Linked DNA regions of Rattus norvegicus. The protein of the gene in region 1 interacts with the protein of each later gene in a pairwise test. Links are inferred from orthologs where the notes say so. Each region holds a gene or a part of one and is shown in the gene's direction. Other genes may lie near its edges.

The links.
Region 2: the proteins of Cep70 (region 1) and Abt1 interact in a two-hybrid assay, tested with the Homo sapiens proteins (2 studies listed by BioGRID and IntAct). The two-hybrid records come from large-scale screens. The link is inferred for Rattus norvegicus from reciprocal best matches to the Homo sapiens genes CEP70 and ABT1.
Region 3: the proteins of Cep70 (region 1) and Zbtb16 interact in binary tests that used the Homo sapiens proteins (3 or more experiments, as listed by UniProt). The two-hybrid records come from large-scale screens. The link is inferred for Rattus norvegicus from reciprocal best matches to the Homo sapiens genes CEP70 and ZBTB16.
Region 4: the proteins of Cep70 (region 1) and Mettl17 interact in binary tests that used the Homo sapiens proteins (3 or more experiments, as listed by UniProt). The link is inferred for Rattus norvegicus from reciprocal best matches to the Homo sapiens genes CEP70 and METTL17.
Region 5: the proteins of Cep70 (region 1) and Atosb interact in binary tests that used the Homo sapiens proteins (3 or more experiments, as listed by UniProt). The link is inferred for Rattus norvegicus from reciprocal best matches to the Homo sapiens genes CEP70 and ATOSB.
Region 6: the proteins of Cep70 (region 1) and Arhgef3 interact in binary tests that used the Homo sapiens proteins (3 or more experiments, as listed by UniProt). The link is inferred for Rattus norvegicus from reciprocal best matches to the Homo sapiens genes CEP70 and ARHGEF3.
Region 7: the proteins of Cep70 (region 1) and Atp5po interact in binary tests that used the Homo sapiens proteins (3 or more experiments, as listed by UniProt). The two-hybrid records come from large-scale screens. The link is inferred for Rattus norvegicus from reciprocal best matches to the Homo sapiens genes CEP70 and ATP5PO.

Annotation. Positions count from the first base shown.
Region 1 is NC_086026.1:108,716,792-108,720,742, forward strand, and holds part of Cep70 (centrosomal protein of 70 kDa), read left to right. Parts: exon of another isoform or gene 1-692; intron 693-801; exon of another isoform or gene 802-1,572; coding exon of another isoform or gene 1,573-1,629; exon of another isoform or gene 1,630-1,916; intron 1,917-2,878; coding exon 2,879-2,963; intron 2,964-3,052; coding exon 3,053-3,141; intron 3,142-3,951.
Region 2 is NC_086035.1:42,125,339-42,129,820, forward strand, and holds Abt1 (activator of basal transcription 1), read left to right. Parts: upstream 1-1,848; 5' UTR 1,849-1,899; coding exon 1,900-2,143; intron 2,144-2,796; coding exon 2,797-2,996; coding exon of another isoform or gene 2,997-3,146; coding exon 3,147-3,509; 3' UTR 3,510-3,943; downstream 3,944-4,482.
Region 3 is NC_086026.1:58,070,612-58,075,142, reverse strand, and holds the start of Zbtb16 (zinc finger and BTB domain-containing protein 16), read left to right. Parts: upstream 1-1,635; 5' UTR 1,636-1,706; intron 1,707-1,730; exon of another isoform or gene 1,731-1,977; intron 1,978-2,273; exon of another isoform or gene 2,274-2,415; intron 2,416-4,531. UniProt on the Homo sapiens protein: Acts as a transcriptional repressor. Transcriptional repression may be mediated through recruitment of histone deacetylases to target promoters. May play a role in myeloid maturation and in the development and/or maintenance of other differentiated tissues.
Region 4 is NC_086033.1:27,054,432-27,058,865, forward strand, and holds the start of Mettl17 (methyltransferase like 17), read left to right. Parts: upstream 1-1,479; 5' UTR 1,480-1,497; coding exon 1,498-1,575; intron 1,576-1,702; coding exon 1,703-1,856; intron 1,857-1,938; coding exon 1,939-2,073; intron 2,074-3,688; coding exon 3,689-3,770; intron 3,771-4,082; coding exon 4,083-4,164; intron 4,165-4,434. UniProt on the Homo sapiens protein: Mitochondrial ribosome (mitoribosome) assembly factor. Binds at the interface of the head and body domains of the mitochondrial small ribosomal subunit (mt-SSU), occluding the mRNA channel and preventing compaction of the head domain towards the body.
Region 5 is NC_086023.1:62,061,429-62,066,097, reverse strand, and holds the start of Atosb (atos homolog protein B), read left to right. Parts: upstream 1-1,484; 5' UTR 1,485-1,762; intron 1,763-1,775; exon of another isoform or gene 1,776-1,915; intron 1,916-4,211; exon of another isoform or gene 4,212-4,669. UniProt on the Homo sapiens protein: Transcription regulator that may syncronize transcriptional and translational programs.
Region 6 is NC_086034.1:2,574,301-2,578,251, forward strand, and holds part of Arhgef3 (rho guanine nucleotide exchange factor 3), read left to right. Parts: intron 1-1,915; coding exon 1,916-2,173; intron 2,174-3,951. UniProt on the Homo sapiens protein: Acts as a guanine nucleotide exchange factor (GEF) for RhoA and RhoB GTPases.
Region 7 is NC_086029.1:44,650,451-44,654,714, reverse strand, and holds the end of Atp5po (ATP synthase subunit O, mitochondrial precursor), read left to right. Parts: intron 1-1,868; coding exon 1,869-1,998; intron 1,999-2,181; coding exon 2,182-2,294; intron 2,295-3,120; coding exon 3,121-3,207; intron 3,208-3,369; coding exon 3,370-3,483; 3' UTR 3,484-3,544; downstream 3,545-4,264. UniProt on the Homo sapiens protein: Subunit OSCP, of the mitochondrial membrane ATP synthase complex (F(1)F(0) ATP synthase or Complex V) that produces ATP from ADP in the presence of a proton gradient across the membrane which is generated by electron transport complexes of the respiratory chain.

The DNA of each region.
Region 1 (3,951 bases):
TCCTCTGAAAGAGCAGCCAGTGCTCTTAACCACTGAACATCTCTCCAGCTCCTCGGGGGATGGGTTTAGACACTTACTTTTAAAATATTAACTATGGATGGGTATAGTGGCACATGCCTTTAATTCCAGCACCTGTGAGGGAGAAGCAGGTAGATAGAGCTCTGAGTTCTAGGCCAGCCAAAGCCATATAGTGAGAACCTGTCTCAAAAGAGAAAACCCAGAATAAACAATGTTTATCAGTTTGGTGTATGTGTGTGTGTGCACGCGCACATGGGCACACATGCATGCACATGAATGTGTGACTGTGCACATGCCTGAGTGTATGTATGAATGTGTGTATGTGTGTTTGTGTGTGTATTTACATATACATACATATATACACATGTATGTATGCAGAAATTAGAAGAAGGTGTCGGATCCCTTGAGACTAGAATTCCAGACATGTACGAGTTCTCATATGGTGCGCTGGGAATCAAACCAGGTACCAAGTAAGAGAAGCAAGTTTCCTTAACCACTGAGCTTTAGGCAATTATTACGGAAGGAGATTGCCAGAGGTAGGAATGTTAGGACAGGAAGAATATGTATTTATAAAGTGAGACATGCTTATAATATATTAATGGAAGATAAATACACATACACACACACACACACACACACACATATATATATATATATCTCCACTCTAAGACTAGGTAGGGGGGCTGGGGATTTAGCTCAGTGGTAGAGCGCTTACCTAGGAAGCACAAGGCCCTGGGTTCGGTCCCCAGCTCCGAAAAAAAGAACCAAAAAAAAAAAGACTAGGTAGAACTAGGTATGAACATATCATTTAGGGATATCTATCTATCTATCTATCTATCTATCTATCTATCTATCTATCTATCTCAGTGTAATACTTGTTCCTGGCAAGAATTATTGAAAAATTTTAAGTTTTCCAGGCAATCTTTGCCAAAGATTTGATTTTTAGTAATGTGTATGTATATTCATGTATGTAGGTTTATGTGCTTGTGAGCAGGTCTCCAGAGTCATTGGAAACCTCCAGGGCTAGAGTTACAGGTGGTTTTGCACTACCCTATGTACGCTGAGAACTATTTTTTAGGCCTGGCGGGATGGCTCAGAGGTTGGGAGTACTTGCTATTCTTGCAGAGAACGTGGGTTCTATTCCCAGCACCCATATGGTGGCTCCCAATTTCCTATAACTCTAGGTTCAGGGGATGGAACGCCTTCTTCTGGCCTCCACGGGCACTTTAACACAAGTTGTACATATACACATAAATAAGTCTTAAAGAAAAAATTAAAATTAATTTTCCATGTATGAGTGCTTTGCCTATATCTATGTGTATGTAGCACGTGTGAGCCTGTACCTGTGAGTCAGAGGGAAGCATTGGATCCCTTAGAACGGGAGTCATGGATGATGTGAGCCACTATGTAGTTAGAAACCAAACCTGTACCCTCTCCTAACTGCTAAGACATCTCTCTGTTCCCAGTCTGTATTTTTATCTTTGTAATTTGAAATTATCTAGAAAGTACAGTAAATGCTACCTTTTGAAAATAATTGAACATATTTTCTTCTAGATTGCTTTGTCTAATTGATTACTATGAATGTAAACTTAGAAAACATCATATACAAAGGTATAAATATAATTTTTTATTTTTTTTATATTTATTTTTATTATTATAAATTGTTTCTGTAGCTTTTGAGACTTTATGGTATGGAAGTCTTTATATCATTATAAAGTTCTTTTCCAAATATAATTATTTTTTATTCTATGAGAATTCGATATCTGTATACAGTGTATTTCAAAAATATTTACCATCTGTTTCTCCCCCTCCCCCCAAATTCTGGATTCCTCACCACATCTTCCTCATAGCTTCATGTTGAAATTCTTTTTAATAAAAGTCTGCAAGATAGTATTTTACTGTTTAGGTTAAAATGTACTGTATCTACATGAAACAACAGAAGTGTATTTCCTCTTATATTGTATTAGCATCGTGGTATATCCACTGGATAAAAGTACATTCATGAAGTATATGCACATACAGTACATTGACTGTGGGGCAGAGCAGAACATAGTTATATACATTTAAATACTAAAGATAGAATGTCAGTGAAAATCCAGGCATGTAGCTGGGCGTGGAAGTTCATCTGTAATCTGAGCTCTCTGTAGGCTGAGATAGCCAAGGACTGAGGATAGCCACAAGTTTGAAGCCAGCCTAAGCTACATAGTGAATCACCAGCTGGCTTGAGACTTGCCGCGATAGTCCCGTGGGAAGATTACATTAATGCCTATGTAAGTAAACTTAAGGCATAGTGGTATATACTGTCATTGTGAGGCAGAGGGATGGTGTATGGGGGCAAAGGGAGAGTGGTGAGCGGTAAGGAAGCAGGAGGCTCTGCACACAGATGGCAGTTCTCAAAGACGGATGGGATGAAGGATTTTTCAGTTAGGTGAATATACCAGCAGGAAAATGAACACATTTAGGCATGTTCGGTAACCGCAGAGGTTTGGGACACAGGGTAAGTGCGGTGTGCTGTGTACTGTGTATTGGTATCCACTTACACTCTACAGGGTGTTTTTAAAAAGACCAGGGAATGTTCCATTTGTATTTTGCTTGTTCATTCAAGTATTTTTCATGCCCCCCTTGTGTCCCATGACAAAGTTTTTGGTTCTCACACATTCTAAGTGAAGAGTAGTAAACAGACTACTCTAAGACTAGGTAGTTGCTGCGATGTGGTACTATTCTCTGTACAACAAGTAGGAATTTGGGATTCCCATGTTTAAGTTACTCAGCCCTTACTAAATTGGCTTCAGTTTTGCTAGCTGCAAGTTCTCTTTAAGGATAGAGTTCCACAAGATGCACTGTGTTTGTCTTCCCACAGGCAGTGTGGGGAGGATGACAGCCAGTCAGAAGGAAAAGACTATCTAAACCTGGGCGTCTCACCAACCTATAAAGGCCTTCTGACGGTATGGAGACCAGCAACTGACAAATACCTTTTCATAAAGCAAAATAATCCCTAGGAGAGTTACTTATTTTACTGTGAAATACATTGCAGTCGTTACAGAAGCAACTTGAGAAATCCAATTCCAAGATCGACGTGCTGTTGGGTGAAAAGCTGAACCTCCAAAAAGATCTGGAAAACAGGTGAGGAAAACAATAAGAATGTTAGACCAATCATTCCTTCCCCCTTACTCTAAAACTGCACCTGAGTGAGTACCTGACCCTCCTGTGCTCCTGTTGACCAGTAGTATTTCATGGTGAATGGTGAACGGAATAAGAATCCTTCGGCAAGCAAGGGAAATGCGAAAATCGGAATCCATGTTGAGGATAAAATTGGCTAAGAACTTTGAGGAGATTCAGGGTTCCGTTTTCTGTTTGTGTTTATATGTGGGTGTAAGTGTGTGTGCAGTTGAGTGTGCACATTTGTGCTCCTGTGTGTGGAAACTAGAGGTCAGCATCAAGGGGCACTGCTGAGTTGTCTACCTTGTTTTATGAGACAGGATCGCTCCGTGAGAACTGCTGGCTGCTGGGAGTTTGCTAATTAGTCTAGGCTGCCCTGCCAATGAGCCCTAGGGATCTCCTGTCTTTGCCACCACCCTCCCAGTGCTGGGATTGTAAGTGTGCACTCTCGTGCGTCTTAGTGGACTCTTGGGTTTGAACTCAGGTCTTCATGTTTGCATGCCAAGCACTTTACCAGACGTAGCTGTCTCTCTAAGCCCAGGTTCAGTCTTTGTTTAGTTTTTCTTTTAAATTAGCTATAGTGAGGGCTGGAAAACTGCTGTGCAAGCATGTGAGAACTTGAGTTCAGATACAGAACTCTTGTGAAAAGGCAAATTGTAGCAGTGTGTATCTGTAACTGCAGCATTGGGTGAAGGTGTAAAGACTGGCAGATTCCTGGAGCTCATTGGCTGGCCAGTCAGCCTAGCCAGTTGATGGAAACTAGGTCCAGTGAGA
Region 2 (4,482 bases), on another chromosome or scaffold:
AATATTAAAGAAACACTAGATGGCTTCCTTCGATAGCTCAGTTGGTAGAGCGGAGGACTGTAGGGGCCCTAGTGATCCTTAGGTCGCTGGTTCGAATCCGGCTCGAAGGAGTGGCCTTTTGAAAAGTTGGAATCCTAGAATTTTCAAGGAAATTTAAAGAATGCAGTGAACCAATGTCATTTGAACTTGTGGGATTTATGGTAAAATAAACAAACCTCAGGTGCTGTGCCGTACAAAAAAAAAAACAATTTAGGTATTCCTTGAGTTCCCGCAAGCAGTTACTTTTCACGACTGGGTCACAAGAAGGGGTAACGATGAAAAGATGCCTTGCACAACTATTTCGCATGTTCATTCATTGGACGACTCAATGATTCTTCACGATCCGCTCAATGCTTATATATGTAATAAAATGTAAAAGGGTCTCTCTTGTAGCCCAGGTTGGTCTGGAATTTCCTTTCTTCTCCATCTCCCAAGAGCTGAGGATTACAGGGTTGCCACTACTTCCAGTTTACTTGGCATTTAATGTGTATAAATATTTCATTAATAATTTGAAGCACACACAAAGTAAAGAAAGCATCTAGTGTTGCCACTTAGCCATCACACTCTTGTATCTTCTTTACCTGTATCCCTCCTCTAGCTCTCAATGTTTTGAAATAACTCTGTAAGGCGCTCTCACGTGTCAGCATTGCTGGTGAAGTAGTCAGAAATTAAAAGTAGGGGTCTTTTCTCTTCACATTCACTTTTGATAAAAGGATCAGAGGTAACCAACAGCAAATCCTGTTCAATGAAAGTCCCCAAAGTAAGGTTTAGTTATTAGGTCCTCAGACGCACCCGAGCTTTACAAATAACGCCCAGATTCTGCGGACACGGTTGCCCTGTCTTATGTCTCTATAATTTTCATGATAATGAAAGATAAACAATTATGTAGGGCCTTGGCGAGGGAAAACTTAAGTACTCAGGCTCCGTCCGTAAAGTAGAAGGAAAGGTTAGTACATCATTTTTAGCAGCTTCGTTCGAGCGTCATCAGCAACTATTAGGAGCTGGGCTCTGGGGTGTAGGTCGGGATAGGCAGACATGATCGTAGCCGCGCAAGCGGACAGCAATAGTGAGGACCGCGCCTCCTGGCGGCTGTTCCGAGGCTTCACTCGGCACTGTTCAAAGCGTGGTCAGTGAGCTGAACAGAGAACCTTCGCTCATCAACTTGCAATAGATTCGAACACAACGGTAGTCAAACAAACTTTTTACTCATACATTTGCAGATTTAAATAGTCACAAGGTGAAATGTAAAATTACTAGAGGCGTGTTTAAAAATATAAAACCGGAACTCCAATCAAAATTCCAAAAGCTATGTGCAAATTTATAAGCTGCTTCAAAAACTTTATTTTTAAAATGTTTAAAATTCGATTGAAACTTCAAATAATTAAAACTTCAAAGCTCAGACTGAAGTTTACAAGTTGAACTTCATAAAACTTTTTAACATGTGAGTTATCCCTTCAACCACATTCACACCACAGTCCTGGTAGACGGTGTTTTAGTCTCTACAGCACACTCTCCCAACACTGTTCTGCAAAAACCACGCGAGGGGCACCAGGGCACGCTCTTGGAGCATGGAGGCAAAAATCACTCATGCACATTTTTTTAAAAATTAAAAGTATTCCGTGAGAGCTTGCCTCAGATCAGAGTTGCACAGGACCGAGATAGTCTACCAAGACCCACTCCTGCAGCTCCACCCCCTCTCGAGAGTCTAGTTTGTTAGGCCCGCCCAGTCCTCCCCGTCTCGCCCCGCCCCAGAAGGGCACCGAAGATTTACGTCACTTAGTCCGGACCGCAGATTGTCCCGCAGGATATGCGTCATCAGGTGGCGACAGATTTGCGGCTGTCGTGCTTCCTATATCTGCCATGGTGAAAGTAGGAAAGCTGGTGGAGGAGCAAAAGGCGGCGATGGAGGAAGAGAAAGAGGTGAATGCAGAGGCGGCGGAGGAGCTGGAGGAGGCCGAGGAAGCGTCCTGCAACGGCAGCAAGAAGAAGGTAGTTCCGGGTATTGTGTACTTGGGCCACGTCCCGCCGCGATTCCGGCCCCTGCACGTTCGCAACCTGCTCAGCGTCTACGGTGAGGTGGGACGCGTTTTCTTCCAGGCCGAGGGTAAGCCCTACGTCGAAAGGAGAGGGTAGCGTTGCGGGCAGAGGATACGACTTATTTTCTTAGCTGTCCATGTATGAGGCGTGGGGTGCTGGCTCTGGGAAAGCTCTGGCTCCCTACTAGCTGCTAAGTATGTAGCGCTCATGTCCCTTAGGTGGCAGGGGCGGGGAAGGAAAATGGAGAGGGTGAGTGGATAGAGTATGCTAATAAGGTCCGAAAGATATCCTCGGATTTCTTTTCTTAAAGATTTATTTTATTTGTATGGGTACACTAGCTGTTTTCAGCCACACCAGAAGAGGGCATCAGATCCCATTATAAAATGGTTGCTGGGAATTGAGCTCAGGACCTCTGAAAGATCAGTCAGTGCTCTTAACCACTGAGCCATCTCTCTAGCCCTCCTCGATTTTTCACATAGTCCCTGACACTGTATAATTAACCTCCTTCAGCCTCTTCCACCTCTTGACGTACACAATTTGGAAATGGAGGTAGGGACTGGAAATGGAGGAATGAGTTAAAGAAAGGAGAAGCTACACCTTACAGACAGCCCGAAAAGGGTTGTAAAGTAGCACCCAAACAAGCAGGTTTGGACGTATGGCCAAACTGAGGTGTGTCTCAGTGGGTGCTTGACCAGGATGTTCATTGTGTTTGGCTCACAGACCCCTTTGTGAGACGAAAAAAGAAGGCAGCCGCGGCTGCAGGAGGAAAGAAGGGAGCTAAATACAGCAAGGACTATACCGAAGGCTGGGTGGAGTTCCGAGACAAACGCATAGCCAAGCGAGTGGCAGCTAGTCTACATAACACACCCATGGGTGCCCGCAAGCGCAGTCCCTTCCGTTATGACCTGTGGAACCTCAAGGTGAGTTCTAGGTTTCTCTGTCACACTTTCATTCTTACCTCCAGCTCTAGCCTGGGCACCCCATCTTTCTTGCTAGGTCTAAGAAGCTCCCAGTTTCTTCTCCATTCTGATCGTCCCTATTTTAACCTTTTCTTGTTTTTCTGCCCACAGTATTTGCATCGTTTTACTTGGTCCCACCTCAGTGAACACCTTGCCTTTGAGCGCCAGGTACGAAGGCAACGCCTGAGAGCAGAGGTTGCCCAAGCGAAACGAGAGACTGACTTCTATCTTCGAAACGTAGAACAGGGACAACGCTTTCTTGCAGCTGATGGGGATGCTACTCGACCAAATAGCTCCTGGACATTTACTCAACGTCCCACTGAGCAGGAGCTGAGGGCCCAGAAAGGAGCACGGCCAGGAGGGCGGGAACGAGCTCGGCTGGCCACAGTCCAGGACCAGGCCCGATCCAACAGAGGGCTACTTGCCAGGATCTTTGGGGCCTCTCTACTTGCAGAGAGCAGGAAAGAACCGTAGCCTATAAGGGACTACTAGTGGAAGAAGAAATGCCTGCCAGCCCTGCCTCCTTCTCATCTGCCTCCTGCAGAGTGTAACCATCTAGGCAGATGTTTGCTCTGTTCCACAGACCAAGAGTCTGGTAAAAGGCCTTTTTTGTTGGTGTCTTTTACCCACTTTGACCAAATCTTTTAAGTGCCAGTCTGAGAACTTTACTCATACTATCCAGGATGAAGACCACTGTAGGTGCCTGCTGTGTTTGTCATCTGATTGCCTGCCTCTTTCTCAGTGGGCACCTAACAGTTTCTGGCTGGAAAGAGTAGACTTGCCTTCCACTAGGGTAGTGGTCTGTGGTCTTTGTTCACTGTAGTGGAGGGCTGAATTAACAGGAATTGGATTTGTGGTCCAATTTGTGGTTTATGTTTAAAAATAAAAAATAATTTATATGCTTTTTAGTTTTTTTCAATAAGTTTTAATTTCTTTTGAAGCCACACATACCACCAAGTTACTCTAGCAGATATGATCCCAATGCTCCTCAAACCTTTTTTATTTTGAGATAGGGCCTCACTCAAGTGCTCAGGCTAGCCCTGAATGCATTCTGTAAGTTGTTCAAGTTACCCTTGAGCTGACTCTGGTCAGGTAGGGTCTGGACATGAAATCCTGTCTCAGCCTCCCAAGAACCTAGGATTGTAGGCCGGTTGTCAACAGGCCTAGCTTTAATATTCTTAAATAAACAAATAGAATAATAATTTATCTTCCTTCTCTTTGTAGGGTAAATCCTTACCTAGAAAAGGCATTTACAAGCTATCACAAGCCTTATCTTTTAAAATGTTTCAATATTCATTTTGGTACATGTCTTCTGTACAAAAACTGCATATGTGATAAGAAAGATGTTTACTAATAGATTTAGGGGTTAAAAAACTCTTATGATTTGAATATGCTTGCCCCAGGGAGTAGCACTATTAGGAGATGTGGCCTTGCTGAAGTAGGTGTG
Region 3 (4,531 bases), about 51 Mb from region 1:
GTTACCTATGAGAGGGTAACTCGATTGCAGCTTTCTTCCTTCACTTTTCAGTGCTTCGTTCTGCTGGTAATTTGAGAATTGGAGTGTCACTTGTTAGGATGCCTTGTTATTATAAATGACCACCACGTTAGCAGCCCCGTGCAGACCATGTGTAAGCTTTGCCACCTGGCCTTCCTGGGTTTTTGTCTCCATTCACCGCCCACCTTCCTCCTCCTTTAGCTCCGGGGGAATCAAGATGCGATTCTGTGACTCCTGTGGGAGATCCGTGGTAAGCCAAGGACACAGCATCCCTAAACCGAAGCCTAGAACTAAGACCTCATGACTTGAGGGTGGGGCTGTGTGGGCGACTTTTCTGAGACCCCTGGGTGGCGCTCTCCACCACACCCCCAACAAACACTGCGCTGGGGCTTTTGAGGGAGGCTCGAGCTCAGAAAAGTACCTCCCCCCCCCCCAATCTCCTGCCCAGTTTCATGTGAAAAGGAAGAGACGGAGCTTTCCGCAGGTAGAGGAAGGACAGATTTTTCTTTGGTTTACGGTTTGGCATCTCAACTACGCCCTTTAAAGTGGGCCAGCCGCCGAGGGAAGAAAGAACTCTGGAGCGGCCTAGCGCTCTTCGTAGCTTCCAGTCGCTCCGGAAGGCTGAGCTGAGCTAGGCGCAGGATCTTCACAACTTTCCATCCAGGTTCTTGGGGCCGGGGGAAAATAAGGGGAGGATGCCTGAGATTGGGAGTGAGAAAGTATTACTACTCGGGCCTTGACATCTCAGTTTGCGACAATCTAGATTGCAAAACCGAGGTGTCACCTCCTACCAGTTCTCTACTGGCCCCTCTGGATTTATCTGGCCAAATCCCGCTAACTCAGACGCTCATCCCCGCGGGCAGGCATGAGAGGCCTGGTTTGGGACTGGGGAAACGACCCATTTAAAACTAGTGTCTAGGGTAAGGAAGGATGCAGTCCGAATCCCGAGGAAAAGTGAAAGGCTAGATGCCACACACTGGTGCAAATAATAGAGAACGGGACAAAACTGCGCTCCTGAGCACCGGAGTTGGGGGAGTTGGGGACGCGGGATAAACCGCATGCCCAGTGGAAATGAAAAACCTGGTGCTAAAGTGGGAACTGTTCCTCCCTCTCATCCTTCTGACCCCTTGGGGGTTGCCAGATCCTCTGCGGCTCCTCTTCCTTGCAACCTTTTGCCCTCTCCACCTAGCCACGGGCAACAGCCGCTGGCGCCGGGGCAGCAGCTAGATGTCAGGAGAAGCCCGGAGCGCCGAGCGCTGGGAAGGGAGGGGAGCGCCCGGGAAGGGAGGGCAGGGCTGGGAGCGCGCACGGGCTCAGCCAGGGCGGGGGTGGGGCGGGGTGGGCGGGCCAGGGCCGGCCAGGGGGAGGGGAGGGGGCAGCTGTGGGCAGGGAGCCGGGCTCGGCCGCCAGCACTAAAGATGGAGAGGCGCCGGGGCCTCGCAGGGGAGGGGGCTCGGCGTTGACGTGGGACGCGGCGGAGGCGCCGCAGCCGGTGGTGATTTGCTAACCTAGCGGCAGAGAGGAGTTAAGGGTGATGAGAGCGGGTACTGCGAACTGCCGGGCGATGCCGCCGCTGCCGCCGTGAGATCCGGAGCAACAGTTCCCCAGCAACACCCCTTCCCCGATCCAGGCACACCCCTAACCCCCCAGGCACGCACACCCACCCCAAGCTCCCGGCTCTGCAAGCGGTAAGTGTATGTGTGTAGGGAACCCGGGAAGGACTCGCACCGCCCAGCGACCGCCTCCCGCCAGGCGCCCTGGGGCGGGAGAGGTTTAGGCGGGTGGCGCTAGCTTTGGCCACTCGGCCGCTGGGCTCGTGCGGGGTTCTCTGGTTGCTGCTGCTGCTTCTGCAGCGATCGCCCGTGCCGGTTGGGGGTCAGCTAGAAAGCGGAGCCGAGGCTGTCAGCTCGGGCGCAGCTGCCTCACCAACCTTCCTCCTCCGGGCACGGTCCGGTCCGGGTGAGAGGTGGCAGGCCGGGAGGTCTGCCAGGGCTGCGGGAGCGTATAGTCGGGGACTGGGTGTCTTTGTACAGGCAAGGGCTGGCGGAGGAGCAGAGAGCCTGTGGGTGCTCATATGTATGCGGACCGGTGCGCTTGGCGTGAGCTAGGATTGTGTCTTATTTATTTGTGTTTATTCGCTGGCGGGCTGGGGAGCTGGAACCGGAGGAAGCGAGGAGTGAACCTGGAGGGCGGGTGGGAGGGGACTGGTACCCGCTCGGGTTTTGTTTTCTTTAGAGAAAACGTGGTGGGATTTTTCTTCTTCTTGATTGGACTTGATGCCCCCTTTTAAGGAGAGAGGGAAGCTTCGGAGAGACTCTGGCGCTCCGGGTCCTCCTCGGCTCTCGGTGGGAACAGCCCGTGGAGCCGGAGCTCGCTGTGCGCTCCCGGCCGCGCACGGTGGGTTCCCGGCTCTGCACCTGATGCATTCGGAATGTCTTTCCCACCCTGGCGCGCTGCAAGCTTGCCCAGCCCCTCGCACGCTCCCGCACGCGCTCGAAATGCGCACGATCCTGGCAGCCTGCGGACCCCACCGGAATGCACAGACGCGCACCGCTGCAACCAGCTCGCCTCCTCCCCGCCACGCTCCCAGCGTGTCTGACTCGGGCACGCCGGCAGCTGGTGCGGGAGGCCGGGGACCCTGCTGGTGGCTTCCCAGGGATCTCGATCCTGGGTGGAAGGTGGAGGACCCAGAGATCTCTTCTCGCTTGGCCTCCCACCACTTGCCTCGGGGCTTTTTGTGCTTCCTTTTCTCCCCCGGGGGGTTGCGCCGTCCGGCCGGCCTAGCAGCGGCGTCCAGCCGGCTCGGACATTCTCCTTTCCCGGGTCTCTTTCGCTTTCCTCCTTTTTTCAGCTCCGATCCCTTTCTTCCAGGCACCTGACTCCCGGGGAAAAGTTGCTTTTCCAAGTTTGCCAAAGTCCTCTGCAAGTCTAGGCGGGGGGTCTCTGGGAACAAGGGGTGTGTTGCGCCATCGATCCTTGGAGCTCTGTGGCGGGTTAGCGCTGGCTTTGCCCAGAGTCGGCTGACCGCTGCACCTAGCGACAGTCGGATCGGGTGCGGAGCTGCGGGTTAGGGAGAGGGCACCTTGATTTCCCTTAAGGCTCAAAAGGCTCCTTTGGAGGAAGATATTTGGCAGAGAACCTTCTTTATTTCGGCTTCTCTCCCTTAGTTCTTGAATCTCTGATCTCTCCCGAAAGCACACCATGTTCAAGAAGCTTTTGACGAATGAATATCTCACCACTGTTGATGCCCTCCGTTTCTACTTTGGGGTGGGCAGTAAGAGTGGCCAGCCAGTACTGTTAACTCTTTCTGCATGAGTTTTGCGTCTAAGGGTCCTTAAGACTCTCGTTGAGGGTGAAGGCATGCTCTATGAAGAGTGCGTGAGAAGCCTAGCTCTCTCCACCCTCTCTCCCCAGGCTGTGTGAAATGTTGGCTGCAGACAGAGGTTGAGACCTTATCCCGTTAGGTCTTTCTGCCCATGTCTCAATGGCTGTTCAAAGTCGAGAGCCTCTCAGTCATCCAGAATACACTCTGGGAGAGGCCTTTGTGTCTCAGCTCTGTCTTCCCTTCCTTCTGGGCTTAACTCACGCCAGAGATGCTGGTGCCAATGTCACTTACAGAACCATATTCAGTGTCAGTTTTTCTCCTTGTCACTGGGCTTGCCAACACCTGGGAGGCATCCAGTCTGGTGTGAACCCTCAAGGCTGTTGGGAACATAGCCTCCTATGATGTTCTCTGCTTTCTCTTCTTAGAGCGTTCTGTCCATTGGTGCCTTGTGGGCCAGAGGTAAAAGAGGGGGTTGTAGCATCTTGTATAATTGTATGTAGATGTGGGTGAGCGAACACACACACACACACACACACACACACACACACACACATCTCTTGGACACATACAGCAACTTTGAGGAACTTGTAGTTAGAAATGACTTAAGCTAGAATGTGATGTGGTAGGGGTGGGGTGGGGGTGTGTGTGGTGGGGTGTGTTTGTCCCAGCCTAAGAAATGGGTCTGCCAATCCTTTGCAGCCCTGACCAGAGTGCAAGGACAAAGGCTGTAGAAGTCACTGATGATGGAGAGGAGATGTGTCTGGGATGACTAGGAGAGGACAACCCCATTGCCTGCAGATAGGAGACCAACCATCATGTTTAGCAGCCAGTGCTGGCAGGCTCTGGTTGTCTCCTAAGGCCGTCTCAGTGAGCGAGAACTAGAAAGCCATTGAGGATGAGGGTTTGCCAATAGGGAGGGGGTGAGCGGTAAGACTGAATGCTTAGGTTGACTAAGGGGAGGGGTTGAAAACTCCTTAATTTTAAGTAAGTTTGTGAGCCTCATGTTGGACACTGGTCTTACACAGGAAGGCTCTGCTCTCAGGCTTAAAGAATGGCTAGGATTCAATGCACTTTATCCAATGCACTGCTTCAGAGCACTGGGGAGGGGGAGGAAGTGTGTGGGGAAGCGTAAACCTTCTTTTTCCTCTCAGCAGCCTGGGCCTGTTGGAAAGGATGGTCATACATTTC
Region 4 (4,434 bases), on another chromosome or scaffold:
ACAAGCCAGTAATTTAACATGAAACAAAAAGTAAAGTATAAAAACTGCAAAACATAGGCTGGGCATTGGTGGCATAGGCCTTTAAACTCAGCACTTGGGTGGCAGAGGTTGGTGGGTCTCTGTAGTTCTAGGCCGGCCTGGTGTAGGCTGGGGTGCGGCAGGGGAAAGGATAGGGATGAGGGGGTAGGGGGCGGGGGGGGGGGTGAGGGGGACTTGCAAAAGACTGCAGTAGGTAGCACATTTTCCACAGCTGTCATGCACACTCCAGCTAGTCTCCAGAGACTCGTTTGATAAAATCAAACCTCTACTACCCACATGCAAACCAGTCATCTAAGTATCCAGCTCATACAGTTGCCCATATGTGGTCCTGTAATTATTCCATTTGGACTGAAGACTGTAGATTACTCTTTGTCCTGTCAGCAGACTTCTGCCCCCAGGAGGCTAAGTACGAAACCACAGCTAGGTAAACCACTGCTGCCAGGACCCGAGGATTTACAAAAAGGCATTTTTTTTTAATGCCATCAGTTAACCCTTCGGAACATTTAGCATTAAATTCTCCATTTGTATTTCAAGGACCAACACTACCCAATTTGGTGCATTGTTTAAAGGTTTAACTCGGATTTTCAATTCCCTAGCTGTCACCTAATATGTTCATGAACTTGGGTAAATTAACCACGGGAAAAATTAATAAAGTCGGCAACAGAGGTTTGTGGAGACAGGATTGTGGGAATTCGGTGTACTATGCGGAAGCTCTTAACGGAAAACCTGGAGCAATTTCGCAGACGACAGCTAACAAGTGTAAAAAAAAAGTTTTATATTTATTAAACTGCAAGCTATAATAATTACTAGCTCTCATTACCGTTGGTCTGACTTTTGTTATTGGTATTGTCCGGTTTCATAAAGGGAAACTAGCCAAGGCTCAGAATTCTACAGCACCAAGCGAAAACAAAGAAAGTCAACAACACTTTGCTTTTCACCTGCCTACCCTACGCTCAGCTTCACTCTTGCCCCCGCCCTACGTCGGCCACTGCTCCGCTGGTCCCCACCCCCGCCCAGCCCAGACCCCCCCAACCCAGCCCAGCCCCCCCGCCCAGCCCAGCTTAGCCCACACACCCCTGGCCCAGCCCTACCCCCGCTCTCCCAACCCTCACACCCTGCCACCACCACCACCCCCCAGCCCTCTACCCCATCTCCACCCCCAGTGAGACTGCTCCCTCCCCAACCCCTCACAAAACACGCTCCAGCCCTAGTCCGGTTGGCCCGGCTCCAAGATACGCGCAGCACTGAGGTCACGCCCCTTCTGGAGACTAAGCCCCTCCCACATACAGCTTCCGTCGCAGAGAGGTACATAGAGGTTGCTTATTGGCTGCTAGCAAAAACTCTCCTCTTTTCATTAGTAGATACCGTCCGGGTCGAAGTTCCACGGAAGATGCTCTTAGCAGCTTGGGCTGAGGGTCACAGGCACGTGGACTTCCGTTTCCGGTGTGTCCTGCAGCCATGGCCACCGCCAGGGCATCGAGATTTCTGCTGCTGTTCTGCAGATCGTGCCGCAGCCTTCGAGGACCCCAGTCCCGAGTAAGTGCATCTTCCTCTGCTGGCGGAGAACTGGGTTTCCAGAGACATCTCTCGGAGGAGCAGCGACCTCGGCGATGCCTCGGACAGCAAGCACCTGCAACTTTTCTGTTTCTTTCGCTGTCTGCAGGCATTCGCTGCCCTTGTGCCCGGTGTGTCCCAGGTAGACAACAGGTCCGATTTCCTGGGGAAGAAGCCCCATCGCAAGCATCCGGGCATCCTGCATCTTCCGCACGTACATCTGCCGCAAGCACTGACTGACGCCGCGCAGTTACTGCTTCTTGGTGAGAAACTGCGGGAAGGGGAAACCAGGAAAACAAAACGAGGTCAGCACGATGCGGTGACTCTTTCTATCTGTGACCGCAGAGAGACCCAAGCGCAGTGTAGAGAAGCAGGTGCAAGCACTCACCAACTATCTCTGGAGCCGACATTTACCAGTAGAGCCGGAGGAGTTGCAAAGACGGGCCGCCTATCTTGAGAAGAAATTTCTGGAAAAACAAGGTAGGGGCTTAAGGCTAAAAGTAAACCAGATAGAAATGTCAATGAGAAGTTAGGAATAAGGACTAATTTAAATCTCTCAGATGAATGCTGCCGTTTCTTATTTGATGCTGTAGTAACAGCCCTACTAAATGATGCCCTCCTAGAAGGCAGATAGAGCCACAGGTTGGGGAAAGAGATTCGGGAAAGGTCAGAAGTTTAGGTCTTTGGATTTTCTTGATTTTTTTTCCCCCACCTCTGCAAGTCAAATAGATTACCACTATATTTTGAGTCCGGCGACTAAAGGCCATATGGCTGTCCAGTAAGTGCGAAACCCACTTCAGGGATAGAAAATGATTACATTTCAGATTAATTTTTAAGACTATGAACTTCTTATTGCAAATTTGCCCTTTACTAACCCTGTACTCCCTGCACTCCTCACAGTACTTGGTTAAGGGTAGTGTCTTAGTGTTCTGGTTTTTTGTTTGTTTTAATATTTATTTATTATATATGAGTATACTGAAGCTGTCTTCAGACACACCAGAAGAGGGCACCAGATTCCATTACAGATGGTTGTGAGACACCATGTGGTGGCTGAGATTTGAACTCAGGACCTCTGGAAGAAGAGTCAGTGCTCTTAACCGCTGAGCCATCTCTCCAGCCCGTGTTCTGTTGTTGAAGAACCATCACGGCAACTCTTAGAAAAGAAAGCGTGGGGCTGGGGATTTAGCTCAGTGGTAGAGCTCTTACCTAGGAAGCGCAAGGCCCTGGGTTCGGTCCCCAGCCCCGGAAAAAAAAAAGAAAGCGTTTGACTGGGGCTGGCTTACAGTTTCAGAGGTTTAGTCCATTGTTGGTGTGACAGCACGCAGGCAGACGTGGTGCTGGAGAAGGAACTGAGAGTTCTACAGGATCTGTAGGTTTGCCCTTGCCATGGCCTTTTGAAACCTCAAAGCCCACCTCCTAATTCTTTCAAATAGTGCCACTCCCTAGTGACCGAGTATTCCAATCCACTAGCCAATGGGGACCAAATCGGGGCCATTCTCATTCAAACCACCACAGTAGGTGTTTGTAGTACTTTGCCCAGTGGTACAGATCTCCACACAGTCACGAGACTTGGATTTTCAAGCCTCTTTCTATAGTAATAATTGAAGATGTCTCACTCCTAAGTATAAGGGGCGGAAAAGTCCATAAAGGCGCCCTTATCGTAGCTTTTAAATTTTTACCACATGGGCAAGAGAGGTGATACAGAGTGGAAAAGCACTCGCCACCAAACCTGACGATGACCTTCTCTGCCAAGTGGGTGGACGTGAGAACCGAACCAGACCTCTACTCACACGATAAATGAATATAAAGAATGTTTTCATTTTTATCAGGCTTCTGCCTGCTGTGAAGCAAAACTCGGAAGGGTTAAGTTGGCTAAACTAGTATTTTAGCAGTCCGGATACTATTAGGTAGGTACTGCGTAGGCCAGATACTGTTGGATACACTCTGACGGTGGTGGCCCTCAGTCTTACCACGCTTCCCTGAAGTTTTGGCCTCTTTCTCAGACTTTGAGCATTTTCTTGGGGCAGGGAGGTGTGCACCACATGGGATCTGAGCGATTCTCAGAGGTCCTCACCTCCAGTCCTTTTCGCCCCAGACTCAACTCAGACAGAGGAAAAACTTCGTGAGGCGGTACTGCACGCCCTGCGCAAAACTACCTACCACTGGCAGGAACTCAGGTAAGGACTTACAGGAAGGGTACAAAGAAGACATGTTTTGAGCAGAACTGAAGAGCCCATCACCTCTCTGTTTGAGAAAACTGTCTGAAATCTTCTGTACTAGAAGGTGAAAGGACTGACCGGAAGAGTCCTTGACATGTACTTTGTTTCATAAACTTTAGAGGGTATCTGGGGCTGGGTTATTTCCTAGGGAGGATTGACAATCTGACATTATTATTATTGTTGTTGTTGTTGTTGTTGTTGTTGTTGTTGTTGTTGTTGTTATTATTATTATTATTATTATTATTATTATTATTATTATTATTATGGCAGCTACAATGAAGAACTGAGCCTGATCTATATGGCAGCAAGATTGGACGGTGGTTTTGCTGCAGTTTTCAGGGCATTCCATGAGGTAAAAAATCTCTCCGCATCCAACCTGACCCCCTTTATCATTGATTTTGTTTTCTGTAAATTAGTCTTCTGTGGTAGGAGTTCTTAGACACATTAATGGTTCTATTTATCCTTTGGAAAAAAAAAATCCTGCGGCCCAACAAAGGTTAGAATCACCCAGGTGTTTCCTAACCGAGAGTATGTTTTAGCGAATCTCACAAGTGCGTTCATCTCTCTCCTCTGTCACAGTTCCCTGATAGTCGCTAAAGCCCTGATTGCTATTCTGTGTCTC
Region 5 (4,669 bases), on another chromosome or scaffold:
TGTCTTCCTAGTGAGCTTTGCTGAGGCAAATACATTCTCATATTGATTCTTCACTTGTGTTTAGGGCTTTGAGACTTTAAAATCCTGCTCCTTCATACAGGGAATTCAATCTTAGGGAGCTGGTTTGTTTTATTTTTTTTAAGAGTTTCCTACTCATTAGAGGTAAGGAGAAAGAATCCTAGAGGACTGTTGTTTGCTTGTATTACTTGTAGAACCCAGAGAGGAAGTAGGGAGGGGGAGGGGAGGGCTCTTTTTACAGTGCAGCAATAAACGAATGGTCCTTGGGGCTCATCGCATAGGCAAAGCACAGGCCTTTACTTCTTTTGGTTCTGCTGTTTGTTCCATTTCTGTGACTGAGAAAAGGCCTGAGTTGGTGACAACCTGTCTGACCCACTGATAAGTTCAGAGGACAAGGTAGACAAGGCTACCCATCTTCTCAGGTTATCTCCAGAGCAGTCCCTCTAAAAAGTGTCTATGAATGTCCAGGCCTTGCAAAAATTCCACCCCGATTATTTACAGAGCTAAGGACAAAGGTTAGGGATGCTTATTCTGCTACTGCTTAATTTGGCTGGCTCTGGGCTGGGCCTGGGGCCCAGTGACTCAAGGGGAGCTTGGTGAGTTTCGAGGGAGCTGTGAGTCATGAAGACTAACTTGGTCTCCAGACTGACTCTGGGCAGAAGGCCTTTTAACTCACTGCTGAGGATACTCTGCTTCCTTGGAGCAGAGGTCTGTTAGCAAAGAGTGCTCCAAAGCCTGATCCGTGAAGAGTTTTGAGCCCAACGGATGAGGCCTGAATCCCTGAAATTTAAATGTATTTTTATCTCAGGAGCCTCCTGGGGTCTCCAAACAAAGGCAAAAGGGAGGGGGGTGCGAATGCCATCTTTCAGTATGGATGGAGATACGGTACGACTTTAGGTCTTTTTTTGCCTGCTTTTGTAGAAAGCTTACTAGATAGCAACAACGCTCTTGGAGCTCTATTTCGGGATGGGGTGGGGGGATGAATGGGCTTGGGGTTATGTGTGGTTGTGTTTGGTATGAGTTGGAGATTGTTGAACTGTATCTGTGAAAGCCCTGGAGCTTCCTATTAATTTACTTAAGAACAGGAAGTGTGGAGGAGAAAGATTTGTTGAGCGCTGAGAGGATGAAGTCTGAATGAGGTTAAATGACAGGGCAGAGAATTGCTTAGGACTTGGACAGAAAAAAGGGTTAAGGAGGTGGGCGGGGCGACATTGGGTAGGCCTGCCCTTATGTGGACCAATAGGCGTGCGCCCCTTGGAGAGGGCGTGACTCACGCTTGAGGTTGCTGAGAGGCTGGCCTCCACTGGACCAATGAACATAGTTGTTGCCCTTGGAGGGTGTGGTCTGAGGGGGGCGTGGCAGCCGTGGTCGCAGTGCTGGGGGTGGCTGGGCGCTGGGCGGGGCGGGCGGCCCCATCAGCTGGTAGGAAATGGCCTGTGAGTCAGAGGGGCAGCTGAGTCTGCGGCGAGGAGCCGGGGCGGCCCCGGGGAGGGACCGTCGCAGGGAGGGGTGCAACAGCAGCTAGAGGGGCTGCGTACGCCAGAGCCCGCTAGTGTTGCACACGAAGCTGATCAGAGAAGAGCCAAGCAGAGCAAGGCTCTCAGCCTAAGCCACCCTTTGTCTGGGTTGGGGGCCCGTAGTAGGGGGGACTGGTTATCCGAGGGGAGGGACAGGGATCGGAACGGGGACGGGACGGAAGGGCCCGGAGCAGCGGCCACCGCGGCGGAGCCAATTTGGGAGTGGGGTGAGTGTGTACTAGGTGGAAGGATCAGATCTCCAAAACCTCTGCACGGTATGGGGCCTGTCCCAGCCTGTGAAGAAGGGATGAGAACCGACCTGGGAGGCTGAGCAGGGGGTGGGGGGGAAATCGTCCAGGACAAGGAGTCCAGGAGCCAAGGTGAGTCTCCGTGTCTGAGTTTGGAGGGGTCCCTGAGGTCTGCTCCCTCTCTATTAAGGGTGAAGGGCTCTAGGCCAGGAGTCAGAGGGAGGGAAGGTGAAAAGCAGAGATTGACCTTTCTACTCACAGCAGTGGTCTTGGGAACAGTCACCTTAGCGTGTATAGACATGTATGAGGACAAAATGTACAGCAGTGAGCAGCGGAACTCTGCCTAGGATAAGAGTGGAAAACACATGGATAGGAATTCTTCCCCCACCTCGTTAGGGTAAAAATGGGTGTCTTGAAACTGAAGGGAAGGATAGAATGAGCCTAGGTGTTCTTCCTGTACCACAACCTCTCCCACCTCCCAAGTCTAACAAGTATCTGAGGGTACAGACCTCATGGTATTCTGGGACTTGTTGTTTTTGCTGACCTTGCTCTCGGCATGTTGGGAGCTGTAGTCCTTGGCAGCCACAGTCTGGCACAGCTGTTTAATGCCAGCTGCTGCCCATCCCCAGTGTAGAGGGCGAGGTTTGGCTTATACTGGCCTGTCCCCTCTCCCTGCAGTCCTTCCCCATGAGTCAGCTTGAAGCTGGGTGGCAGAGGAGTGAGTCTTAGAGCGTCTCTGGACAGGGAGGGAACTAATAGGGCTCTGGATTAATGAGCAGATGCCAGGCATGCTGGGGTCAAGTAGGGCATCATGTCATCACCTGGCTTCCTTGAGGCAAGAGCTCAGGAGGGCAACTGAGATGACCTGGAAATTGGGGTGCTCAAGAAAACGCCCTTCTTGAACTTTAAAGCCTGGGTGGAGAACAGGCAGGGAAGAAATGAGAACAGGTTATACTCTCATGACACTGCCACTACTGACGTTCTCCACTTTCTAGCCATCTCACCCACGGGAAGGACCAGAATATTCTTAGGATCTCATTCAAAGGGGGACCTGGCGAAATGGCAAAGTATGGCCTGAAAGGAAGGCAACAGTTGATGTGGGAGAGTTTCTCAGTCCCTAAGTGTAAATGTCACCTTTCTCTCCGTCTCCTACAACCACATGAGCTGCTGCAGTTTCCCCCTGTACAATTAATCTCTCCACTCTTCACCCGTAGTGTTTCTCTACACTGTCAGGACTGCTGACCAAATCACTAGTGCTAGTATTTAGGCTTTTTTGAATTCTGATGTGTGTTTCTCCTGAGCTTGAAATGGGACTGGGGAAGAAACACAGACCCATCCTCAGGTGTGACATAATCAGAAGTAAACGGAAGTATTACCGGGTTACAGAAAGTAGTTAGTGGCACTGTCTTATGGAAGTCTGAGATGAGAGATCTTTTGGAGGGGAATGACTTTGAGATATCCGTGAAAGAGGGGTGGGAAAAGGTATTTTGTTATATTTGTTGGGCTTGGTTCTAGTTTTTGTTTTGTTTTGTTTTGTTTTCTGGAGACAGGTTTTTCACTGGGCTGGCTTTGAACTCAGAGATTTGCCTGGCTGTGCCTCCAGAGTGTGTGAACTAGCGTGTACTACCACCCTTCAGCTTCTTTGTTGGTTTTGTGTTTTGTCTGAGATAGGATGTCTTGTAGCCCCGTCTAACCGTCTGACCTTAACTGTCTGGTGGAGTGTGAAGGCCGGCTGTAACCTGTTTTTCATTTGTTTCTTTTTGTAATTTTTGTTTTGTTTGATTTTGACAGAGGACCTCTCAAAATGTAGCTAGACTGGTTTAGATCCTCCTGCCTCAGCCTCTAGCATTATGATAAAGGGCATTATGGTTGGTATTCCTCACAGACTGCTGACCAAATAAGGATGACAGTGGGGACTGTTGGCCTTCAACTTGACAGTCTGGTCACTGAAATATTGGCTAATGGTCTGTGAAGACCATTTTTGTGCCATGGCAACAAAGAAATGCTTTAGGTTTTTTTGAGTACTGGTTGTGCCTGAGGGGGAGGGGCATGGGGAGATACTCCAGTTGTTTCTAGTTGACTGCTTGCTGCTTCCTTATCTCTGGTTTGCAGGGCCTGGGGGGAGGGGTGGGAACTATAAAGTGCCTTCTGACAGTTCTCTCCTTCCATCCCTTGTTTTTGGTTAGATTTCTTTTTTTTTTTTTAAAGATTTATTTATTTATTATATATAAGTACACTGTAGCTGTCTTCAGATACACCAGAAGAGGGCATCGGATCTCTTTACAGATGGTTGTGAGCCACCATGTGGTTGCTGGGAATTGAACTCATGACCTCTGGAAGAGCAGTCGGGTGCTCTTAACCGCTGAGCCATCTCTCCAGCCCTAGATTTCTTTTTTTGTTTTTTTTTGTTTTTCTTTTTTGGGGGTGGAGGGGTTAGGGGGTGAAGGTAACAGGGTTTCTCTGTATAGCCCTGGCCATCCTGAAACTCTCTCTGTAGACCAGGCTGGCCTTGAACTCAAAGAGACCGGCCTGCCTCTACCTTCCCAGTCCTGGGATTAGAGGTGAGCACCACCAATCCCAGCACCACCACTGCCCCGCTTTGGATTTCTTTTCTCTGTTAAAAAGACAGATTTCTGGGGAAAGTTAGTATTTTAAGTGTGAAGGGCTGGCCTGGAGCTGACTTGGGGTTTGTAGTTGTGTGATGGGGTGTGCCTATCTGCATGACCTCTGCTCTTAGCACTCTGGAGTCGCACTTGCCCCTTTGTATAGACATATGGAGATGAGTTGTGTAATTGGAGGGCCTTGAGTAAGAGAAGAACACTGTTACCCTGTCCACCTACTAGCTGACATGGAATCTCTCTGATCTTTGAGGCATCTTACCCCTCC
Region 6 (3,951 bases), on another chromosome or scaffold:
GCATGTCAGGGAAATGATCACTTTTCTGGAACGAAGGCAGAGCAGTGAGTGTGCTCCTCTTCAAGCTGGAACCATTCTTGCATGATAGTGTGCTGTGATCCAGAAGGTAGTGCCAAACACCTTTTCTGGCCTGTCAGAGCTCATTTAGAAGATTTTAATGCGTAATTCCTACAACTGTTTTTTTTTTTTTTAAATCATACTATTGCTTGAACTTCTTGAGGCCCCTGATAATTGGGCCACCCTGGAATCATTCAATCTTAAACAAATGTAGAAATGTTTGTGGTGAGTCACACAAGGCCTGGGTTGTGAGTTTGACCCTTGATTTCTGTCTATAAGACCCACCAAGTCTTATAGATAAGTCTCTTTAAGAGAATCTTAAAAGCAGGTGGGCTGGATATATGGCTCAGCCATTAAGCATGCTTGTTCCTCCCCCTCCCCCTCCTCTTCCCCCTCCCCCTCCTTTTCCCCCAGACCCACTGAACTAAATCCCCAATCCTCACTTGCCCGACTTGAGTTCTTTTTTTTTCTTTTAAAGATTTACTTATTATTGCTTACATGTACACCTCCAGGCCAGAAGAGGGCCCTAGATCTCATTACAGGTGGTTGTGAGCCACAATATGGTTGCTGGGAATTGAACTCAGGACCTCCAGAGGAGCAGACAGTGCTCTTAACCTCTGAACCAAAGAGCCACAGTTCAGTTTCCAGAAGCCCATAGGATGGCTCACAGCTGCATGTAACTAACCCAGTTCTGACTCCCTCTTCTGGCGCCGATGGGCACCTGCACACACCTGGTCCACAAAGACAAAGTCGTGCACATACACAAACACACACAAAGACAAAACAAAAAAAATCTTAAAACTAAATCAATGTTTAAAAATTAAAAGGAAGCTTAGGAGACAGGTCAGTAGGCAAAGTGCTTGTAGCAGTATGAGGACTGGGGCTTGAATTCCCAGAATCTATGTAAAGCCAGGCACAGACTCATGTGTCCATAATCCTAGTGCTTCCACAGTAAGATGGGGAGTTAGAGATAGGATCCCCAGAAGGTTGCAGACCAGCGAGCCTGGCATTTCAGAACAGCAGCAATCAACAAAGAGACCCTGTCTAAGATGAGGACTAATTCCTAGGACTGCCCTCTGGTTTCCACATGTGTGCTGTGCACATATATCCCCCCTCCCCATCATCATCATCATCTTACATATATGGAGACACATATAACTCACACAAAATTTAAAAACAGGGTGCATGGCACCCGAGTGATGACAGCCAAGGTTGACTCTCGTCCTCCAAACACCCATGAACACCAAAAAATACACCAAAAACTACACGCAAAATAAAATAAGTGGTTTCTTCTACCTTACTGAGTACATAGAAAGGGTTAGGAAAATTCTGAGACTGGCATATAGCTCAGAGGTAGAAGAAGATCAAACGTGCATGAGGCCTTGGGTTCAACCCCCAGCACTAACCTGAGCATGCGTACACACATGCATAAGCACATGCACACACCCTGTTCTGTATGGACCTGCAACGCTGATTCTTTTGTTAACAGTTTAAATTGCCAGAACACGCTAACGAGTTTCGATAGGGATCTTTAGTCCCCCCCCCCCCCCCCCCCCCCGGAGCTGGGGACCAAACCCAGGGCCTTGCGCTTCCTAGGTAAGCGCTCTACCACTGAGCTAAATCCCCAGCCCCTGATAGGGATCTTTAAAAAGTGAATTTACAACTAATAAAAGTTCCTTTTTGTGTCTTGTCTGTCATTTTGAAGATCCTACCAGCTAGTCTCTTCCACCTTTGCAGATAAAAGGACGGTGGCCGGGTCTGGAGACCGGTTTGGTGTCTGTCCATTCCTGAGTGATGCTGACCTGACCCTTCACAGCAGTGACATTGACATGCAGCCTTCTCTATGTTTCTTTCCCAGCTGCCTTGTCTCAGCTCCTATGACAGCTACTGCAGCAATCAAGTTGCTGCCAAAGCCCTGCTGGACCACAAGAAGCAGGACCACAGAGTGCAGGATTTCCTCCAGCGCTGCTTAGAATCACCCTTCAGCCGCAAACTCGACCTCTGGAATTTCCTTGATATTCCCCGGAGCCGGCTAGTGAAGTACCCTCTGCTCCTTCGAGAAATCCTGAGGCATACGCCAAACGATAATCCAGACCAGCAGCACCTGGAAGAAGCTGTAAGTTTGCCAGTTTCTTTCCCTCCTCCTGGGTCAGTCTCCATAATGGCTAGCATCAGGTCCGTAGGTACCTTGTGCACGGGCCCAGTCTTGGATTTCAGGCCTGGGATGTCAGATTCCTAAGAAACAAACCATTTTCACAAAGTATCTTAAGATCCATTTGGTTGTGTGTTTGTGTGCCTATTTGTGTGTGTGTTTGCTTGTTTTTGTTTGTATATTTAACCCAGGCCAGGGCTGGCCTAAAACTAGTGATCTAGGCTAGCTTCGAACTCATGGCCAATCTCAACCCTTCAGTGTCATCCTCTCAGATGCTAGGATTATAGGATTATGGGTATATGCTACCACACGCAGCTTGGGTTTTACAACACCCCCACCCCCGAATGTTTTTCATGCTGTTCTAATCTGGTATTAGCATTGCTAACTGTGAGAGCTAAGATCTGTGTGGAGACTTTGAGTGGAAATGGGAATTGGCTTCTAATTAGCTCAAAGCTCACCAAGAAGGGACATCCGTTTAAGATCTAGCTCCCGGGGCTGGAGAGATGGCTCAGTGGTTAAGAGCACTGACTGCTCTTCCAGAGGTCCTGAGTTCAAATCCCAGCAACCACATGGTGGCTCACAACCATCTGTAATGGGATCTGATGCCCTCTTCTGGTGTGTCTGAAGACAGCTACAGTGTACTCATCTATAAGAAATAAATAAATCTTTAAAAAAAAAAAAAAAAAAAAGATCTAGCTCCCATCTGTACCTGAATTTAGTAGGGTGTCTGATCAAACTTCCTACTTGCTACTGCACCGTCATTAAGCAGATATTTACTGAGCATGGGCCTCGTGAGGGCGGTAACCTCAACACTTGAGAGGCAGGGGATCCCAGGTTTGAGGACATTCTGTGCTACACAGTGAGAAAAACCAGCTTTTCGTGGGCTCAATGTACAGGGTCACCACCCCACATCCTTGATCTCATTTTACAACTTCACTCCTGGATATCCTTTCATTGGCTCCCCGTTCCCTCGTGCCCTTCCTAACACTGTGACTCTTTAACACAGTTCCTCATGCTGTGGTGACCCCAACCATAAAGTTATTTTTGTTGCTACTTCGTGACTGTAACTTTAATACTGTTGTGAATTGTGGTGTAAACGTCTGGTATTTAGGATATCTGATAACACGACCCCTGGGAAAGGATCATTTGACTCCCAAAGGGGTCAATACCACTGGTCACTGCTGTAGACAATCCTGGTCCTCTACTCAGCAGAAAACAATGTGTCCCAGACTATAACGTGCCACATTTTGTAAGTGATAGAGCTGGCATCTAAATCCTGAATCTAACTATTTAGAAAACTTTAATCAACTGCATAACATGGAAAGTTTCTGGAGTTGATTTGAACCCAGGTCTGAAGCAATCTGAATCCTGTTTTAAAGACAAACAAAACAAAACCAAAAAACCCAAGGACAGGAAGAAGGCTAGTAAGATGACCACATTAGCTTAATGACCTAAATAAGATTCTTAGTTGGCCTCTACTTGGGTACCATGGCATGCGTGTACACACGCACACATATACACACACACATACACACACACTCACACACATACACACACACTCACATACATACACACACATACACTCACATACATACACTCACATACATACACAAACATACACACACATACACACACACTCACATACATACACACACATACACTCACATACATACACACACATACACACACATACACACACATACACATACACACATACACATACACACACATACATACACATA
Region 7 (4,264 bases), on another chromosome or scaffold:
TGTTGATGATGAGACAGCTTTATTATTCTGAAACTTTTCTGTAATGTGAGCCAGGAGATGCATAAGTTCATTACCATGAACCCAAGTTTTTCAGCTAGAAAATAAAAGTAACTCAAGAGCACCCGCCATTTTAGACAAGAATCTAAAGACCGAGTTAATGTTTATAAGCCTAGAGTGGGAGAAATGTCCTCGACTCCATCTTCACGGTACTGAAGTTATATTTTCTTCCTGAACGTTTCTTTAGAAACTTTTCCTGGGTTTAATTATTTTTTTTTTAAACGTTTCTTTCTTTCTTGGGAGTTGGGGAGTGTCAGGCACGCACAGTGCAAGTGCAGAGGTCAGAGTCCTCCCCCTTTACACTGTGAGTTCTAGGGGTCAAACTCAGGCCAGCGGCCTTGGTAGCAAGCACCTTTGAGCTCAGGCCATCTTGCCCTTCCTGGGTTTGTATAATTACTTTGGTCCCAAGATGTGAAGAAAGAATGGCTGGGTGCACAGTCGGAGTTGGGTGCCAGCAAAGTGAGACAGCAGCTGCCCAGGCTGCAATTTCCTCTTTGCATTTTCTCCTGAAACACAGAAGAGGAAAAGCAGCCTTGTGAATTAGCAGAAACCCAAGTGTGACTCGGGTCAGAGGCCACCCCTTCCATTTCCTCTGGGGTAGCTGCCCCTAAGGCTGTAGGGCTCCCATAAAGGAAGAGTTGAGAGAGAATAAAGTCGGTCGCTAAGAGAAAAGATGGTTTTCCAGTTACATGTTTTAAGAATGGTGTATATTTTGTAATCCACACATCTACTGAAGAGAAAAGGCCCGGCCACACAGGATAACACCGTGTCCTCTGTTTATCGGCTGCGTGTGGTCAGTTCTGCTCTCCCTGAGCCAGGAAGTCCTGTTCACCATCAAGATGGTGATTTAGACGGTGGACATTAGAATGGGGTTGAGGCAGGCAAGATGGCTCATTGGGTAAGAATACTTGCCCCCAAGCCTGACAGCTGGAGTTCATTTTCTGGGACTCACATGGTGGAACGAGAAAATCGAGTCTAAGGCTGTAGGGCCCCCTTGTTTGTCCTGCACACATTCACTGTGACCCACACAGGTACAGGTGCGTGCCCTCCTACCCCCACCCCTCCCTGCCCCCCCTTCTTTCTTTCTCTGCCCCCCCTTTTCCCATCCCCCCTTTCCTCTCTCCCTCTTCCAATGACTTAGGTTTTGGCTTAATAAAATCCAGAAGTCTGTCATAGAGGAAAAAGAGGGGTGACAGTTATCTGAGGTTCTGAACATAAGTGAGATTATGAGGGTGGGGAGGGGTGTGGATAAAAGAGGTCACCCTGACTGTCTCCTGGATTTTGCTAGCAGACACACGAACTGTGCAGCCTCTCCAGTGTAAATCGTAGCATGGAAGTCTTTGCATTCTATGGCAATGGCCTAAATTCTGGCCAGGAGCCACTGAGGTGCTGGGAGTAGCTGACAAGCAGGAGGACACATTTACCAGGAAGGTGCCCACCCAGGAAGAACTGCTGCGGGTCCTAGAGCCCTGGGCGGCTGCTGAGAGCAGGGGATGAGATGGATTGACAAGGTGTTGTGACTTTCGCCCTCTCAGACCAGTCTCTCAATGTTAGGTTTGTTCCAGGACCTCTGTTGGAGGGAGGGCACACCTAGGGTCTCCTGAGACACAGAAGCTCAAGGGTTCTGTACTTGTGGGTGGTGCTGTGAGGAAAGCGGGCTTGCCGTGTCATACATGGTGAGACTTTGGCTGCTTAATTCTCGTGATCCTTCTTAAAAATGCATGCAAGAAACTCCAGAAGGTGTTTTTGAGGTTCCTCAAAACATGGTTTTAGTCCCATGTGAAGTCAGCTGGGACTGTGTGTGCTTTCAGCAACTCTTGAAGGACCCCAAGGTGTCCCTTGCTGTTCTGAATCCCTACATTAAGCGCTCCATCAAAGTGAAAAGCCTGAAGGACATCACTACAAAGGAAAAATTCTCTCCGCTGACGGCCAACCTCATGAGTGAGTGCTGGGGTCCCAGTGGGCTTTTCCTAAATCCCTGTTGGGTATTTAAAAACAGCGCTCATAACCACTGAGCGCCTCTCCAGACCCCATTCATATCCTTAAAGGACTGAGTATGGTATTTTCAGGCTACAAGGTGTCATTGCTTTCGGTGGCTCAGTGAGTTTCCTGTCACTTTCCCAGATTTACTTGCTGAAAATGGTCGCCTAGGCAACACCCAGGGCGTCATCTCTGCCTTCTCCACCATCATGAGTGTCCACCGTGGAGAAGTGCCGTGCACAGTGACCACAGCATTTGTAAGTAACAGCTCTTGCTGCTGCACTGGGGACATGGCTGGTCCCTCGTGAGGTTCTGTCAACTTCCACTCAGAAGACCCAGTGTGTGTCCTATTAGTGATTAGTCGTGGGGGTCTGAGTGTTTTATGAAATAATGACTTAGGCCCTGTTACAACCTGAAGTCTTAAATGGGATGGGAGCATTTACCTGTGGGTTGGGGTGCACAGGCCCTCTGATCCACTGGAATGAAATGTTAACGAGTCACCGTTCTTCAGGGCTGCCATCTGCTGGGGACCTTGTAATGTGTTACTGCTCTCAGAAAATAGGCATCCAATTGAACTGTAATTGTCCTTATTTTACAGTCAGGAAGCCCAGCTCAACAAGACAGGCTCAGGATCTGAACACAGGCTCTCCTCTCAGAGGCCCATACTCTTTATGCATTATATGCCCTGCGACAAGTCATTTTATTGTTCTCCCCATGACATAGGTCAACCAGAACAGGAAAGGTGTTTGATGCAACACATGAGTAGTAGTGTACAGCCCCTGGCCTCATCCAGGTTGTAGTTCAGTTGGGGGGGTGGGGAGCTTGTGTGGCCAAGCCCTCTGCCTAAAACCTGTGCATTAGAGCATGCATTGTGGTGTGGCCATTCCCCAGGCCCCCACCCCCACCCCAAAACACTCAAGCACACACTCACACATTCGTGCATGCATGCATACACATGTGCACACAGGTCAGTCAGGAGTCACTGGCCTGTCTTGGTTTCATACCCACTGTGGTATTTCTCTCTCCTTTGACTGTGTTTGCTGCTGTAGTGCTCTGCTTAAAGGATTGTTGCTTCTTTTTCAGCCTTTAGATGAAGCTGTTCTCTCTGAGTTAAAGACAGTGCTGAATAGCTTCCTGAGTAAAGGCCAGATACTGAACCTGGAGGTCAAGGTGGGTTTGCATAATTGTGGAGTGTGTTAGTGCCAGGGCAGGGCTTACACACAATGGTTCTGACTCAGGTGTAGTTCCCATTTGTGTGGTGGGTGGCCTGCCTACCCCGGGATGTTCTCATCTGCGCTGTGTTTCATGTGTGCGGCCTGTTTTCTTTCCTAGACTGACCCATCAATCATGGGTGGGATGATTGTCCGAATTGGAGAGAAATACGTTGATATGTCTGCAAAGAGCAAGATTCAGAAGCTCAGCAAGGCCATGCGGGATCTGCTCTGAGAGACTGTCACCTGTGTGAGCGCTTGTCTTTGGAGCACAATAAAATGCTTCCTGAACAGAGGACGTGAGGGCCCTTGTCCTTTAAGGGGCAGCACCAGGTTTTCAACCTCCCACAGGACAAATCCTCTCATCTCCAGGTTAGAAAGTCCTTTGGGCTGGAGGATTTAGTTTGTATGTGTCATTCGTAGGAATTCATTGACTCAGTAAGCATTGTACCTACATATATAGTCTAGTACTGCCTATCAAAATCTCCTATCTTTGAAGGGAGCTGAGAAGTGGTCCCTAACCAGTCATGAAGACCTCCCTACTGAAAGGCTCTCAATCCTGACACAGAGCCCCTAACTGTAGGAAGCTCTAACATTCAAGACTACACTTTGTGTTCCTAGCAGTCTTGTGATTTGCTCAGAGCGACATGGCTAAGCAGCAGGTGGTGAGGCCCCAGGACCCTCATTTGCCATCTCCAGCTCACGCCTGTTCCCTTGTGACAGAAGGCACGCTTTGACCACTGCTGGAGCCAGCCCACCAGGCTACACACACGTCCCATGTCCCCTCCCCCAGTGTTCTGAGTTCACCTAAGCCAAGCAGCACACACATTCCTCCTGAAGCTTACCTCTGAGGCTGCTGGAGCAGCCAGATCTCCCTGAGTGACTGTAGTCCCTCCCTGAGCACTCCCAAGAGTGTTTGCCTAACAGACTACTCTGACTACTCCAGAGCGCTCCTGGTGGATACCTCAAGAATGGGCAGAAAGAGTGCAGCAAGTCCTCAAGGGCAGGGGCGGGCC